2 linked regions of the Astyanax mexicanus genome follow. The protein of the gene in region 2 interacts with the protein of the main gene of each other region in a pairwise test. Links are inferred from orthologs where the notes say so. Each region holds a gene or a part of one and is shown on either strand. Other genes may lie near its edges.

Region 1 (7,999 bases), on a different chromosome or scaffold from region 2:
TCTAACCTTTGTGACACAGGCCTGTTACAAACTGGACAAAAAGATCAGCAGAAATTATCTATGTCCCTGTTTACACCTTGTCACTTTATGTGACTATCTGGATCTGGATTATTTTCTAATAAGGATAATAAAGCCACATGCATGCTCCAGCTGAAATCTGATTGCTGTGTGGAACAGAATGTACACATTCATTGTCTTATTGCACATCAGTTATTACTGTTGTTTTGGTTTTACTGAGAGGAATTATGGTTGTTTGGTGTGTCTTGGAGAGATGGATGCTATTAACATCATGCATCATGGGTAGACCTGTCATGAAACAAATTTTTTTGTGTTTAAAAAATTTCTTCCCTGAAATTATTGCAATAAACGATATTATTGTCATTTTAAGACCATTAAATGTTACTAATACAATGATAATTCAGCTCTGGAAATAAGAGACTGCCTAATGCTGCTGTTTTTCCTTGATTTTACCAAAATGAAAACCTCTGGAATATAATCAAATAGAAGATGGATGATCACAAGCCATCAAACCACCAAACTGAACTGCTTGAATTTTTGCACCAGGAGTAAAGCAGCATAAAGTTATCCAAAAGCAGTGTGTAAGACTGGTGGAGGAGAACATGATTCCAAGATGCACGAAAACTGTGATTAAAACCAGGGTTTCTCTTCCAAATATTGATCTTTGCATTATTTGAGATCTGAAAGCTCTGCATCTTTTTTTTGTTATTTCAGCCATTTCAAGTTTTCTGCAAATAAATGCTCTAAATGAGAATGTTTTAATTGGAATTTGGGAGAAATGTTGTCTGTAGTTTATAGAATAAAACAACAATGTTGATTTTACTCAAAAATATACCTTTTAATGGCAAACTTTATTTTTTTCCAGAGCTGTATAATCGCATAACAAAGCAGTTAAACCCTTTTAAAGACAACTTTTTTAAAATAATGACTAGCTAAAATACTTTTACTGTTTATTTATATATGTGAACAACCATAAAAACAAACAAAATATATCATACCACCATTATCAAATATTATTAAGGCCATGGTATTTTATTGTACAATTAGAGAATAATGGTGTAGCTAGTAAAATTATATTTGACCCCTCCGTATATTTAATTATATTGTGCCCCCCTGATGGCCTATTACTCAGAAAAAAACCTAGATGCACCACTGCAGTGTGAACAGAGCCTATAACCACCTCCTGAAATGGTTTGAGTTTTTAAATCAGATTTGTATCTGTTTTAAATGCGTCTTGGGTGTGTTTATACTTGGATTTAATGTGGTTTGTCCTAATTTAGATATAATTCTAATACTCAAGATGCATAGTGTAAATAGTGACCAAGTGTAAATAGGATCTAAAATTCAGTGCTGCCCACAGAATGCCAGCTGTTCTGTAAATTTGTCTGACTACATTAAGTATAAAAAATTATACATATAAACAAATATTATCGCATACATAATAACAGCTACACCTCTGCATCCTCTGCTTAAAATACTTTCCGGCAGCTACAGCTGAGACGTACTGTGTGGGAGGGTATTTCTCTTCAGGATCGAGGGTAAACATGTGGTTCACTGATCGTATCCTCTTTCTAACTAACTTTGGTTTCAGCCAAACAGAAGCACCTGACTGGTTTCACAGCGTTTAGCTTTGAAAGACCCATAAAGCGTATCAGAAGGTGATACGCTAGATCCCGGTAGCACATCTGGCTGGGCAAATGCAGGCATGACCAACAGCAGCCAAACAGTGGCATCCTGCCACCATCTGAGTGCTGCCAAAAGTGCGACAGAAACTATTATGCTGTGTGCTACACAGAGTCTTCCTGTTGCCAGAAGGAATCTTTTTCTGTCAAATCCTATTCTATCACATGTCTCAAGTCCTTTGTGCTCATAGTTGTACTTCTGATATAAAACTTAAAGCTGAGTAAAGCTGAGTAAACTTGAGTAAAGCCGATTTTTTTATTCAGATTTCCACTCAAATTTAATATGGTAACAAGCCTAATAGGAGTAAGAAAGCTTTGCAAAATTTAAATATGGTCACCAATTTTTTTTTCATATTTCTAAATTTTGGATCTAATCTGATTACTGTTATATAATTAAATGATGCCTTTCTTTTAACTTTACGATACTTTTCTTATAATTACTGTAAGGTTTCCTGTTATTAATAAAGTGTGTCATATTATCATATGATTATTTAATGATATTTATTTTTTTTGTTATGAATTATTCATTAATTATTATTTACGGTGAGGGAAGTAAGTAAAAACTATAAACTATGACTATACTGACAGAATAAACACACATTTCACACTCAGCAGTGAAGTGTGAACACTGTGATCTACTGTGCCTTTACCACCATCTACTGGTTTGTGTTGACAGTACTGAGGTTGCAATAAGATTTAATGGTTATGCTGGTTATGCACACTCTTGGAGTTATGGAATTTTTGGTGAGAAGGTTCCTCACACCTTGTAATATTAGGCTAGACAATATGTATGTGCGATATGGCCCTAAAATAATAAATAATAATATTTCATGGCATTTTCTGTGATAACGATTCTCTTGGAGATATGTCAAAACAATTAATAAGAATTCAAATTCATGAATACACTACTGCAACAAAATTAAAAAAAATAATTGTATTATTGCATATGATATGATATAGCAAGAGATAATGTCACAGGACTGTGACACAAATATTTTGATTGCAGATTTATTGTGTCTTTCTATGCAATTTTTTTTTTTTTGGGGGGGGTTGTATATTTTTTGCATTATTTTATATATCTAGCAGATTGTTACATGCAACTTGCTGTTCAAGCAATGTCAAATGCTGCCCTCTTGCTGTGAATTGAAGTGATTTACCAATCATTTAGAATGTAGTTAAGTAAGCAGTGAACTATGTTAGATGGGTAGGACAGTTCAGCAGAGTAAAGTATAATACATGTTATGACAAAAGTGGAAAATGTGGAAATCAGCAGAGAGATAAAATAAAAAAATAATTTGCTGGATCATGACATAGCATTTGCTATTTAAATAAAATTAATAAGATACATGGCTGCTGTGATGTGCACAAGACACACAGACAGACTAACTCATTCTAAGTTACTTAATTACTTGACTGACAGGCTGACGGATTTTCTCACAATCACTTTACTGACAGATAGATAAACAGAAAGACAGACAGAAAAATAGACTGGCTGACAGACAGGAAGACTGACTGACTGACTCACTCACTAACTCACTCACACTCACTTGGCTGACAGACAGACAGACAGACACACTGACTGACTGACTGACTGACTGACTGTCCCACTCACACTCACTCGCTTAACAGACTGACAGACTGAATGGCCCACTTACTGACTCATTCACACTCACTAAACTGACTGACTCACTAGACAGACAGACAGACAGACTGATTCACCCACTCACACTCACTCACTTAACAGACTGACAGTGGGCCATTCAGTCTGTCAGTCTGTTAAGTGAGTGAGTGTGAGTGGGTGAATCAGTCTGTCTGTCTGTTCTTCTGTTTGACTGATTCACCCACTCACAATCACTCACTAAACAGACTGACACACTGAATGGCCCACTAACTGACTCATTCACACTCACTAAACTGACTGACTCACTAGACAGACAGACAAACAGACAGACAGACAGACTGATTCACCCACTCACACTCACTCACTTAACAGACTGATTGACTCACTTACTGACTCACACTCACTTACTCAACTGACAGACAGAGAGACAGACTGACTGACTGGCTGGCTGGCCCACTTACTGACTCACTCACACTCACTTAACTGACAGACAGACTGACAGACAGACTGACTGACTCACACAGTCACACTCACTAACTTAACAGACTGACTCACTTACTGATTTGCACACTTACGTAACTGACAGTCTTACGTAACTGACAAACTGTCAATCTGAAGATCTGAAATTCAGTTAATACTAACTAGTTAGTAAGTTCTCTTGAAATTATACCTTTTTACAGTCTGACAGTATAACCTACAATTCAAAGTTATATTATGGGTTTATTTTACCTAAGTGGAATTCAAGCTTTTCTTTCAGCTCTTAATTTATTAGGGTTTGGTGCTGGCCTAGAGTGAGGAGACCCAACCAATATGGCGGTGACGCTCCAGCCCGTAACGAGGCGTCTGCGTATATTATTATGTCTATGGGCGTCAGCCGGCCGCCATATTGGAGGAGTCAACCATGCGCCTCTAGCGCATTAATTTGTACTGAAGAAGGTGTTTATTACACCTATAATAATCATAACGATTTACCCAATTATGTGTGTATTGATGTATATATAAATATAAAATGAATTTATTTATACACTTATTAATATGCCATACCACATGTCTATCTTTGTTAAAAAATTTAATAAAAAGTATTGCAGCATGAAAGCACGTAGCTGTTATTTGTGATGTGTGACAGCGTCCTGAATCATAACTACATCTATGCCGTTTGTAACAAACCAAACCGTGTGAACATTGGGTAATAATTGGTAGAGTTGTGATTATTATAGCTGTATTAAACACCTTACTCCGTACAAATCAGAGACTGTAAAAAATATATATACAGTCTATGGTACAAATAAATGCACTGGGGGAGCATAGTTGACTCCTCCAATATGGCGGTCGGCTGCTACGCTGCACATGTACACATGTCTAATATGGGGGTCAGTACCTCTTGAACGAACCAGAGCACAGTAGAGGGCGGGGTTAGATGTGGGCGGGGTTATATGTATAACCCCGCCTCCTATAGGCTGCAGCGAGACATACATGTGGGCCGTCCTCTGGCATAACCTCAGTTCTCCTCGCTCTGTGGCTGTTATTATTTGAATGAACCAATCAGGAGCGAGCTGGGCGGGGCTTCATCGGCAGAGGGATTTTCGAAAACAGAGGATTGATTTGTGAAGCGGAGAGCGGAGAGAGCCCTTTAATTTCTGGATTTTTAGTGGAATCGGCTTTATTTTGGAACCAGGAGAAGAGCGGTCTGGAGCCTGAGCTGTGCTGAGCGGTAGATTTATCGAAAGCGAGCTGACTTGAGGCGATGCGAGCTTTATTACACAGACTAGTAAAGTAATTTAACGTTAAAGACCCAGACCAGACCCAGATAACTAACTTAGATTATTAGCGTTATATATATATTAAACTACAGAGGCGGCGGAGAGCTAACGTTACAGGTTATTACTGTTACTGTTAGTTATAAAGAGGAGGATGATCAGGTTTTTATTAACTGTTATTGAGTGTGAGAATCACGAGGCCAAGAATAAACGTTAAAGTTGCCTACTGTAACTTTTTGTATTTTTATATGTTAGTGAATTTTAACGTGTAACGTATTTTGGACAACATTTAAACAGTCAGCTGTCGCTCGTTTAACGATAAAAGTCTAAAAATGAGGAAGACAAAGAAGTGTGCTGAACGACTGGTGGGCTCTGTCAACGACGGTAAGTTAGACTAACGTTCATTCTTCGTTTAATTCCATTAACGTTAAATAAAACATAATGTATGTTTTATAGTTAACTATTTAGCAGGAATTGAACGTTAAGCTCAAGCTGTGAACACTGCTTTGTTCTTTAGTTTGTCAGCTCTGCAATCGACGTGACAACTGTCCAGACAAATATGGAGAGAAGTTCACCCTTAAAAAGCACAACATCACCGTCCATTATTTCTGCCTGGTGAGTAATGCTAGCATAGCTAGCTTAGCTAACTAGTTAGCTTAGCTGGGCTATTAAAAACAAACATTTTGAAGTTACTGTTAAGCCTCTGTGGCTTGAATGTTGTTTTATTTGCCTAAAAAGAGGCCTGGCTAATGTTGTCCTGAGGCACCAAACCAAAAAAAATGAAACCATGTCATAAATGTCATTTATAACCTGTTTGTTTAATTATACATTGATGCACATGTACACAATTTATTGTTTTAATATTTACACTGTTCAGCGTTTAATTCAAACATGTTATAACATTTATATTCATTGTATTAACTACTGGTTTCACAGACCATGTGGCTTGTGTTGATAACAAAAAGGTTAGCTAGCTACTCCAACAAGGCTTGTATTATGACAACTAACTGTATGTCAGTGTCAGTAGTGTTCTGAACTAATGCTACTGTGGGAATTTGTGTTTGGTTGATAGATTATATATTTGTTGTAACTATTCTTATTGTATGTTTATCGTATATATATATTATACTGTTGGAAAGCCTGTTAATTTCCCTTTTAAATGGAGCCGCATTTGACAAATCGTCTCGGCCATTGCCAAACAACTTATGTTTATGTTGATTTTGCTTCTGTTTGCTATGTTTATATAACCGCTTTCCTGTTGACAGCTGATGTCCAGTGGAATATTCCAGAGAGGAAAAGAGCATGAGGGTATTCATGGCTTTCTTGTAGATGACATAAAGCAGGAGATTCGCAGATCTTCCAGACTGGTAAATAAACACTTTAACCCAAGTATGATTTTTTTTTTTGGTCACGTTGAGGATGTAGTAACTGGATGTAACTGACAGTTTGTTTTGGTGAGCCTAGCTAAATATTAAACATGCACTACATTGCCATGGTGTTTGGTGATGAGACTTGAATAGAATTGCTTGGCCCTGGAAACCCATTCCATGAAGCACTTTTAATGTTCTTGAGCTACTCTGAAGGCCACATAAAGATTGGAGGTCTGTAGCGATTTACTCTGCAGAAAGTTGGCGACCTCTGCACAGTAGTACCCTGCACTGTCATTTTATGTCATTTTGACACCTTGGAATAATAGCACAACTGGATTTAGCAGTCTGCATGTCTGGGTGCTTGGTTTTAAAAACCTGTGGCCATGGAAGTGACTGGAACCTGAGTTCAATGATGGGTGAACGAAAACTTTTGACAATGTATTGCATGTTTTTTGATACGAGTCAAAGAACAGTATTTCAGAGCAATATACACTGTCAAAAGACATGAGCTACTATTGTGTTTTTTGAATTTTGTTATGTCCCATGGAAGATAACAAACCCTTCACTTAACTAGATGCCAATGTTCATGATCTTTATTGCCCACTGTGCTGCCCTCTGTGTGGTACTGCCTCATATGACACAGTGGAGGAATATCAAATGCCTGCAATCCATCTGGCACCCACTTTCAGACCTTGATAATTCACATCCCTTTGTTATAAACATTCTGGCAGGAGTTTCTGGCCTAACTCACTCACAATATTACACCTCACAACTTATACAGGTGTGGTAGTTCCCAAGCCACCCCTGCAGTAGCACTTCATGATCAGTTTACACAATGCTATCCCCTGATTTTTAAATGTTAATGTTGAATGCATGTTGTGTATAATGTAGGTATCTTTTTGTATGAGAAATACCCCCCAACTCTCTCTTTTTTTCCCCTGCTTATGCAGAGGTGCGTTGCCTGTAAAAAGGTTGGTGCTTCGGTAGGATGCTTTATTAAAAGCTGCAGACAGATGGTCCACATGCCTTGTGGAGTTGAGCAGCAGTTTATCTTCCAGTTCACTGACTCTTTCCCGTAAGTATATTGTTGGTACATTCAGACCAAACTGCACTTTCCTCTTTTTCTGATAAAATCTGTGACATAATGTAGTCATCACTTGAAAATGTGAGATCAGACATGGTACACGTCAATTATGCTGCCTCTGTAAAACTCTCTTTTTTACAAGCTACATGATTAATAGAACATAGCTTGGTGTCATGAATTGTCCCACCTGTTCTGACCTCCATCTAAGTACTGGTAAAATCTGTGCTTTTCCAAATACACCAGTATCTGGCATAACCACCTGTTAAGCTAAGTAAATAAAACTGTAATTCTTAGAAAAACATTTTCTTTTAAAGTCTAATGAGTGCTGAATGTTAATCTACACAGATTTCTCTCCTGCAAACTGTTTATTTGGGGGAGTAAAGCCCCTCAGTTTATTTACAGTAAGCTAAGATTTCCAGATTTCCAATAAGGCTGTGTGCAGCAGTATTAGCATTAGCAGATAACCA
Region 2 (7,761 bases):
TACCCACAATCCTCAGGCTTTGCGGTAATGCTGACTAATCAACATTCTGCATATTTAACTGCTTGCAATAAAGTTAGTTGTTGGTACTTTTAGAGAAATTATTCATTCATAAACGTTGAGTGAAGAAACATAAGTCCCATTTTAGGTGTAAATCTTTTGCAAAAATTACAAATTAAATACTTTTAAAAATCTAACAATTTATCTGCCAATTATTTCATGTTTTATTATTTAATCATTTTATGTTTTTTCTGTTTTTAATGATAATTTGGCTTTTTTTGGGTGCATCAAACAACCTGAGCTTTTTTCATTATTTGCTTCAGTGTTTTTATTAAAATTATTAAACTATAATATAGCATAAAAGACTGTTTCCAATCACCTCTATGTGTAACATAATGTACAATATTGTTCCATTACTCTGTGCAACCAAGAGGCAATGTGCAGTTGTTTGTAAATGCAGTCTTAAGATTTCTTTACTTATTATTATTTATATTATATTGTATATATTGTACTGTTAAGGTAGATAAAATACATTGCATTACATTAGTTTTACTGTGATACAGATTTGTAAGCTATTTAAATATCCTACCTACGCTACTGCAGGGAGCATGTTCTAATATAGTGCTTGTTTATTGTGTTTTTATCTTTAAATAATCACCAGAGTAACACAGTTTAACACAGAAACCACTCAGTTAATCAGTAAAACAGTAGAGAAACAGAGAGCTGATCACTTACAGCAGCAGAATTCCTCCTAAAAGCGCTCTGTTGTTACCTATTAATACTCACAACTCCATACACACAAATATATAAACTAAATAATCCGAATTATTACAGAATTTAACTCAATTCTCTTTATATTCAGCACCAGCGTGTCTCACTGCGGGCAGACATGTGTGTTTATCCGGGTAACTTCCGCACAACCGAAAGCTCTGACCAATCACAGCCCAGCATACTGAAGCGTCCCGCCCCCTTTGTAGATCAAAGCGCTCCTACTGGAGGACTTTTAAACATTATATTTCTACAGTATTTCTTTTACGTTACATTTCTTTAAAGTAAATTAACAAATTACACAATTTCAAAATTAACACGACTGGAGAACACATATAATCATATTTTGTCTAAACTTTTTAGAAATGTATTCTTATCTTGTATTATGTAGGTTATTTATCATGCTAATACTTTTTTGTATAATATATAATTATCAGTTATTGGAGACTTTTCTCTCTTTTAGGTTATGTTTATGGCGGTGGCGTAGTAAACAAATATTTAAAATGCAAAATTTAAATTAAGATATCACCTACATCACATAACCCAAAAATATATTATATATTTTAATCACAATAAAATATTCAAATATATAAAAAGTGTAAATATATTTTTCAGCTGCTATGAACATTTATATTATACTTAAATATCAGCAATTGTGTTAAATATGCAATTTCATAATTAAATAAAAACATTTTTAAATATATTTCTTAGCTGCTATTAACACATACAATTTTAATTCTTAAATATCAGCAATTTGGTCAATGTGCAAATTTCACAATAAATATTTAAAATGTTTTAAAATCTATTTCTATTTTTCTTTGCACTCCAATTAGTTTATATATTTATTTTATTGCAGTTCTATGGGAATGCATTGTTTTTATTTTTTTATTGGATTGTGTAATATAATGTGTTCAATTGATGTAATATAGAAATACAATGTAAAATGTATTCTAAAACACTTGCCTCTAAAACACATATAATTAGTTATAAACAACAAAAGAAAGAAAGGAAAAATGTCTATCTATAGACACACAATGCGTCCATTCTTTCCTTCATATGTTTGCTTAAATATTCCATCATTGCTTTTTAGATTTTTTTTTTTTGGGGGGGGGGGGTTATTAAACATACAAATGAACAATTCTAAGGGTTTAGTAATTGCAATTTTGTAATGTGGTATCTGACTTTTTTGAAGAAATTAAGTTTTTATAGTTTATCCAATGGGAATGTTAATGATTTTTTGGACATAATTTGTTACTTTCAATAAAAAAAAAAACTATTCTCTTTAAACTTCTGGTTATTATGTTCTTTTTTACATTACATTCAATAACGAATGTTAAAAAAACGAATAAAAGGAAGAATATATCCAGATTATTATTCGTTTTATCTGCCGGGTGTATATATATGGTGTGAGAGCAGCGTGTTACAGCGTAGTAATAAGAATAAAGGAATATCTCTCCGGCTGTTTATTATTATGAGCGGAGTCTCGGCGGCACTCAGACGCAGATCTATAGATCATCTGCTCCGCGCAGTGTTAGTGAATCCCAGGCGGGTATGATCTGTAGATCCGGGGATTTGCGCAGCGCATGCGCACCGCGCCGCTGCCCCGCTCCCCCGGTTACGCAGATTGCGGCCGCTGCGCAGAGCAGCTCTCTGTTGTTTGAATTTGGTGCGGGCCGCTCAAACATAAAGGGGTGGGAGCAACAAAGTATCATTTATAGCGGAGTTCAATCGTTCCGCGTGCAGGTGAGTGTACCGGGGCGCGCGGGCTGCAGCGCGGGGCTCGTGGGGTGTTTTCGGTGTGTTTGGGCGCGCGGGGAAATGTTAGCCTTAGCGTTAGCCCTAATCCTAGTCTCTAACCCGCTAATACGGTGCAGCGGTTTAGCAGCGCGGCTAACGGCTAACAGGCTAAGCGGGCTAAACAGACGGGCTAAAGTTGCGGTTTTGAGGCTTTTAGAGGCGCTAAAACCCCGAAACTGCATCAGAATCAGCGCATTAATGTGTAATATCATATTTATTACAGTGTAATAATGATATTAATATAAATCTGAGCTGAGATCAATGTGTGGGAGGGAGACAGCGGGCAGACAGAGGGATTAAACCTAGTCTCGGGCTGAGGGCTTCAGCTGTAAACACTCTCTCAGCGTTTACCTCAGAATATACACATTATACACTGCAGATTTACTCACTGTAACACTGTTATATCCTGTTCAAACTCCCGCTTTTCTCCTGCTCTCCTGCTGCAACTTACTCCTGTTCTGTAGGGATGCACTGATTCAGGAAGTCTGAGCCGATGCCGATAACCGATAACATGTGTATATCTACCAATACACGATAAACCGATAAAATGTGTATATCATATAATACTGTGAATTTCCGCCACTGTGGGACTCATAAAGTATTATCTTATCTATACCTTCATTTTACTGTGATACAGTGATTTAAGCTATTTAACGATCCTACATACACTTCTGCTGGGAGCATCTTCTAATATAAGGCTTGTTTTTTGTATTTTTACCTTTAAATAAACACAGTTTAACACAGTAACAGAAAAAAACCCGCAGTAAATTAATAAAACAGTAGAGAAACAGAGAGCTGATCACTTACAGCAGCAGAATTCCTCCTAACAGCGCTCAGTTATTACCCACTAATACTCACAATTATTACAGAATTTGACAGTTTAACCCGATAAAATATGTAACATATCTACCGATATCTGATAAAATGCGTATTATCTACCAGTATATGACAAAATCGATAAAATGTATATATCTACTGCTATCCGATAAAATTTATATATCTACCGACATACTATAAAATGTGTATATCTACTGATAACCAATAAAATGTGTGTCTACTTTTATATCCAATAAAATCTCTATAAAAAAAAAAAAAAAAAAAAATATATATATATATATATATATATATATATATATATATATATATATATATATATATATATATATACCAATATCTGATAAAATGTGTATTATCTACCGATAAACGATAAAATGTATATATCTACTGATAGCCAGTAAAATATGCATATCTACCGGTATCTGATAAAACGCACATATAAACAGATAGTGATATTACACATTTATAACTTACAGAGAGACTGACTACATGAACCATGTATCTGCTATATATGCTTCACGTGTTTTTTCCATTTGGTTTAGTGAAGAAAAAAAAAAAGTTATTTTCCAGGGTTCTAGTTTTTTATTTCACTTTTACAAAAATGGGGAATAATGAATATTTATCCCATTTTATGATTTTCTTTTTTTTTTTGTTCAATAAATATTGTTAATTGTAGTTTTTAGATAGCGAAATTCATTAAGGTTATTTAATTTGTTCAGTGGTAAAAAAAATAATAATTAAAAAAATAAAGAAAACTTACAACTTACTTATTATGTCAAAAGATATTTAATAAGTATTTATTTTTATCTTTATTTTTCCCCTCAGATCCCGGATGCGTCGACGGACAGCAGGCCCACCGTGTGGATGTTGCCGTTGTTGACCGAGCAGCCTTACACACACAGAGTCTTAAACTTATATTTTTGTTATTTTCTTAAAATATAGTTTATATATTTTGTAGTTTTTTTTCTTTTTCTTTTTTAAGTATGTCGCATCAAATGTGACTTAACGCTTATCGAAGGGACCAAATTCACAACAGACCTGTGATGAATACATAACCCCATAACTTCTGTTATGTAGCGTTTATAGCATATAGAACATTTTGTACTTTTGGACGTAAATGGACGCTTCTGTATACCAGGTTAGAACTCCATGAACGAGTCGACTGACCAGCAGCCTTATTCCTCTGTGTGTGATCCTTCCTGACTTTATACCAACAGCATTCCTCACACACACACACACACACACACACTCTCATATTCACACACATCGCAAATGAAGATGCTCACCACCATGACGTACAGGATGCCCAACTTCACTCTGGAGCAGAAGCTCTACCTGCTGCAGAAGATCCACAGCGTGGTGGACGCCGTGCAGGACTTCCGTAAAGACACCAACACCACTGTGTACCGGAACGCTGTGTGGGCCGAACTCGCCCAGGCCTTCAACGAGGCTTTCCCCAACCGGCCGCCCAGCAGCGTGGGCTCCCTCAAAACCCTGTGGAAGAGGCTGAAGGTGGAGTGCCGGGTGGCGCTGCAGAGGCGGCAGGAGCAGCAGGCGTCGGGGATGCCGCTCACCGCCCTCACACAGGTACAGTCACTACCGTCTTATTAAATACATCTCTAAAGCCCTATCTGGATGGAATTAGTTTCTCAGGGGGTTTTGGGATAGTTTTTATCCTCTGTGATTTTATTCCTGTCCAGAACAACCATGTACACTGTAAGCCCGGATAAGTTAAATTTACTTAAAAAAATTGAGACTTAAAAAGTTAAGTAATGGGTAATAAAAACTTCATTTAGCATATATGTAAGAACCAGATAAGTTGAGTTTACCTAACTTTTTTTTAAGGCAGCTGATTTTCTCAATTTTTTTGAGTTATTATAAATTAAAACATTAAGGTCTTACAACTAAAGGGGAAGTTGATTTATTTGTAAGGTAGCCCAGGGGGGGAATCACTACACACTGATGGTGAGTGTCTGTCAGAAACTGTTGGACACGCCCAGTATGCAAATAGAGTGTGAAAGAAGCCAATAGAAAAGAAACTGTTGATGGCAAAACAGACTAAACTCAGTTATTATAAGTTGGTTCAACTCAAAGTCCTCAGTTTGAATAGTACAGTAACTCAAAATAGTTGAGTATTGTTTAGAAAAATCCAATTTTATGTAAAACAGACTTAAATCATTTGAGTTCAAACAAACGTACGGGTTTACAGTGTACGTGTTTTTCTCGGACGTCCTCTGAGAAAATTACAGGCTGAATTATCTACTGTTTTTCTCTGAACTCCGTGCTCCTCCGGTAATTTTAGTCCTGTCCGGACGCACATCTCTGAGTTTCGTTTCCTCACTTTTAATAAAATAGATATTTGTCCACTGCCGCGCACCGTAATTACATTTTGGACGCGCAATAGTTTCCATGGAGATCCACGTAAGAAAAACACAACAGCGAGTGGAAATGGAGGAGCTACTGAACGCCGTGATGATGTCATGTGACCGAGAAAAACTAAAGCCTAAAAACTCACTGGTCCTCCTTTTTATTCAATTGCAGCCCGGATGCAGGAGTTTTAATCACTAAAGAGTAGAAGTGTGAAATATTTAACACAGATGCTACACTGAGAAAATCATCCCGTCCAGATAGAGCTTTAATTTGCTTTTTTTGCTTTTTGGTCTCGGACCAGTTCCAAAAGTTTGACCTGATTTATAACACAGATACACACTGACCACCATAAGTGCAGCGCTCGCATAAACTTTATTTTAATTTTTAGTTTTTCTTCATTCAATATTAAATATTCAGCTACATTTAAAATGAGGTGATTCTCCGTTTCAGTTTAGTTTCAATTTAAATCTGAGACTAAATAAAGGTTAATTGATTTATTGATTAATTGATTTGTGGGAATTCTGAGCAGATATCTGATATTACACATGTATTACTTTAAAACTAATAAAATAAATAAAGATTAGCTTAAATTCTCTAAATTCTATCTGAATTAAAAAGGATAACAGGTGTTGGTTTGTTCTCCAAAAGTCTGAAGGCACTGTTATTTTACAGCATTTTATACATATTATACATGAGACACTGTAGATAAATAAAATAAATGTTAAAGTTTCTTTAAAGCCTATTTCTTAATACTCTCTTTTCCCCGTTTCCTGCAGGTGCAGAGAGAAGTGATGGCTCTGGTGCCGAACCTGATCACTAACCTGGAGGATGTGGATGGAGACGGGAGCTACGTCGTCACAAACAGCTCCCCGGGGCCAGGTAAACTCCACCTGTCTCACCTGTTCCTCCTCAGATATCCAGGTGCATCCTGTCTGTGGTGTTTATTAGGGCTACACGATCTTAAAACAAAGTGACGTTGCGATGAAGTCACTGGGTGACTGAGTGATGTATGGGTTTAGGGGCGGGGCAGGAGGGAGATTTGGACAGATCACTGATTGTCGGTTATCTGTTACACCATAAATTATCAGCAAAGGCAAAAATATATTTATATAAGTTTATCACGTTTTTTTCGTTTTGTTTGTCTTTTTTCCAGGGATCGGAGGGACCAATGGGAACGAGCCAGAGGATCTGGACCAAAATGATGTAATGCATTATCAGCAGTTTGATGTCAGTGTGTTCGTTCTCCACTCCATACCACTAAAACTGCTTCTGTTACATCTGTTCATATTTATAACTAGTGAGTCTGTTTAGTTTATATGCTGTTTAATATAGTAAAATTAAATATTTCCCAGAATACTGATGCTCAGAACATACTCAGAAAAAAAGATTTTAAATGTATTAAAGATGATTTCAGTATTTAACATATTTGAGCAACAACAGTTTGATGAATATTAATTTTAACATAAATCAATTGGCAATTATATAAATGATATTAATGATGTTTATCATATATTATTCACAGTTATTGTGTCACTTTTTTCTGCTTCGTGAGCATCATTTCAATTCTAAGTAGTCTGAAAAGTCTAAATATTCTTAATAATTAAATGTTTAAGGCCACTAAAATGGTCTTAAAATAAAAATATGGATATATAAAAGTTATTGTGACAGGCGAAACTGCAGATTTAGATTTTGAATGTCATCAATATTATTTGCAGATAGCCATCATTATTTATTTTAATTGATTATTTTTTATCATCACTCTTCATCATGTTGTCGTGTGTCATTCTTTTAAATAATATTGTTTTATTTAATATTTTCTGCTTATGTTTTGTAACTAAATATTGTACATTAGTTTTTCACCGTAATGTTTTATAGCGTGTTAAAAACATTAATTCTAAACTTTTTTGAAAATTGCAAATGCAGTATTTTCTGCGCAAATCATGTAAAATTAAAATGTTAAATTAAATGTATTAATTAATTATTTAATTTATT

Evidence for each region.
Region 1: the proteins of wdr6 (region 2) and g2e3 interact in a two-hybrid assay, tested with the Homo sapiens proteins (2 studies listed by BioGRID and IntAct). The two-hybrid records come from large-scale screens. The link is inferred for Astyanax mexicanus from reciprocal best matches to the Homo sapiens genes WDR6 and G2E3.

What each region holds. Positions count from the first base shown.
Region 1 is NC_064421.1:45,549,188-45,557,186, reverse strand, and holds the start of g2e3 (G2/M phase-specific E3 ubiquitin-protein ligase), read left to right. Parts: upstream 1-4,956; 5' UTR 4,957-5,410; coding exon 5,411-5,462; intron 5,463-5,595; coding exon 5,596-5,693; intron 5,694-6,343; coding exon 6,344-6,445; intron 6,446-7,398; coding exon 7,399-7,523; intron 7,524-7,999. UniProt on the Homo sapiens protein: E3 ubiquitin-protein ligase which accepts ubiquitin from an E2 ubiquitin-conjugating enzyme in the form of a thioester and then directly transfers the ubiquitin to targeted substrates. Essential in early embryonic development to prevent apoptotic death.
Region 2 is NC_064419.1:49,950,529-49,958,289, reverse strand, and holds the start of wdr6 (WD repeat-containing protein 6), read right to left. Parts: upstream 3,025-7,761; 5' UTR 2,953-3,024; coding exon 2,952-2,952; intron 2,509-2,951; exon of another isoform or gene 2,376-2,508; intron 907-2,375; exon of another isoform or gene 733-906; intron 1-732. Other genes in the region: fibrinogen silencer-binding protein, read left to right, coding at 4,672-4,986, 6,546-6,648, 6,923-6,996. UniProt on the Homo sapiens protein: Together with methyltransferase FTSJ1, methylates the 2'-O-ribose of nucleotides at position 34 of the tRNA anticodon loop of substrate tRNAs. Required for the correct positioning of the substrate tRNA for methylation.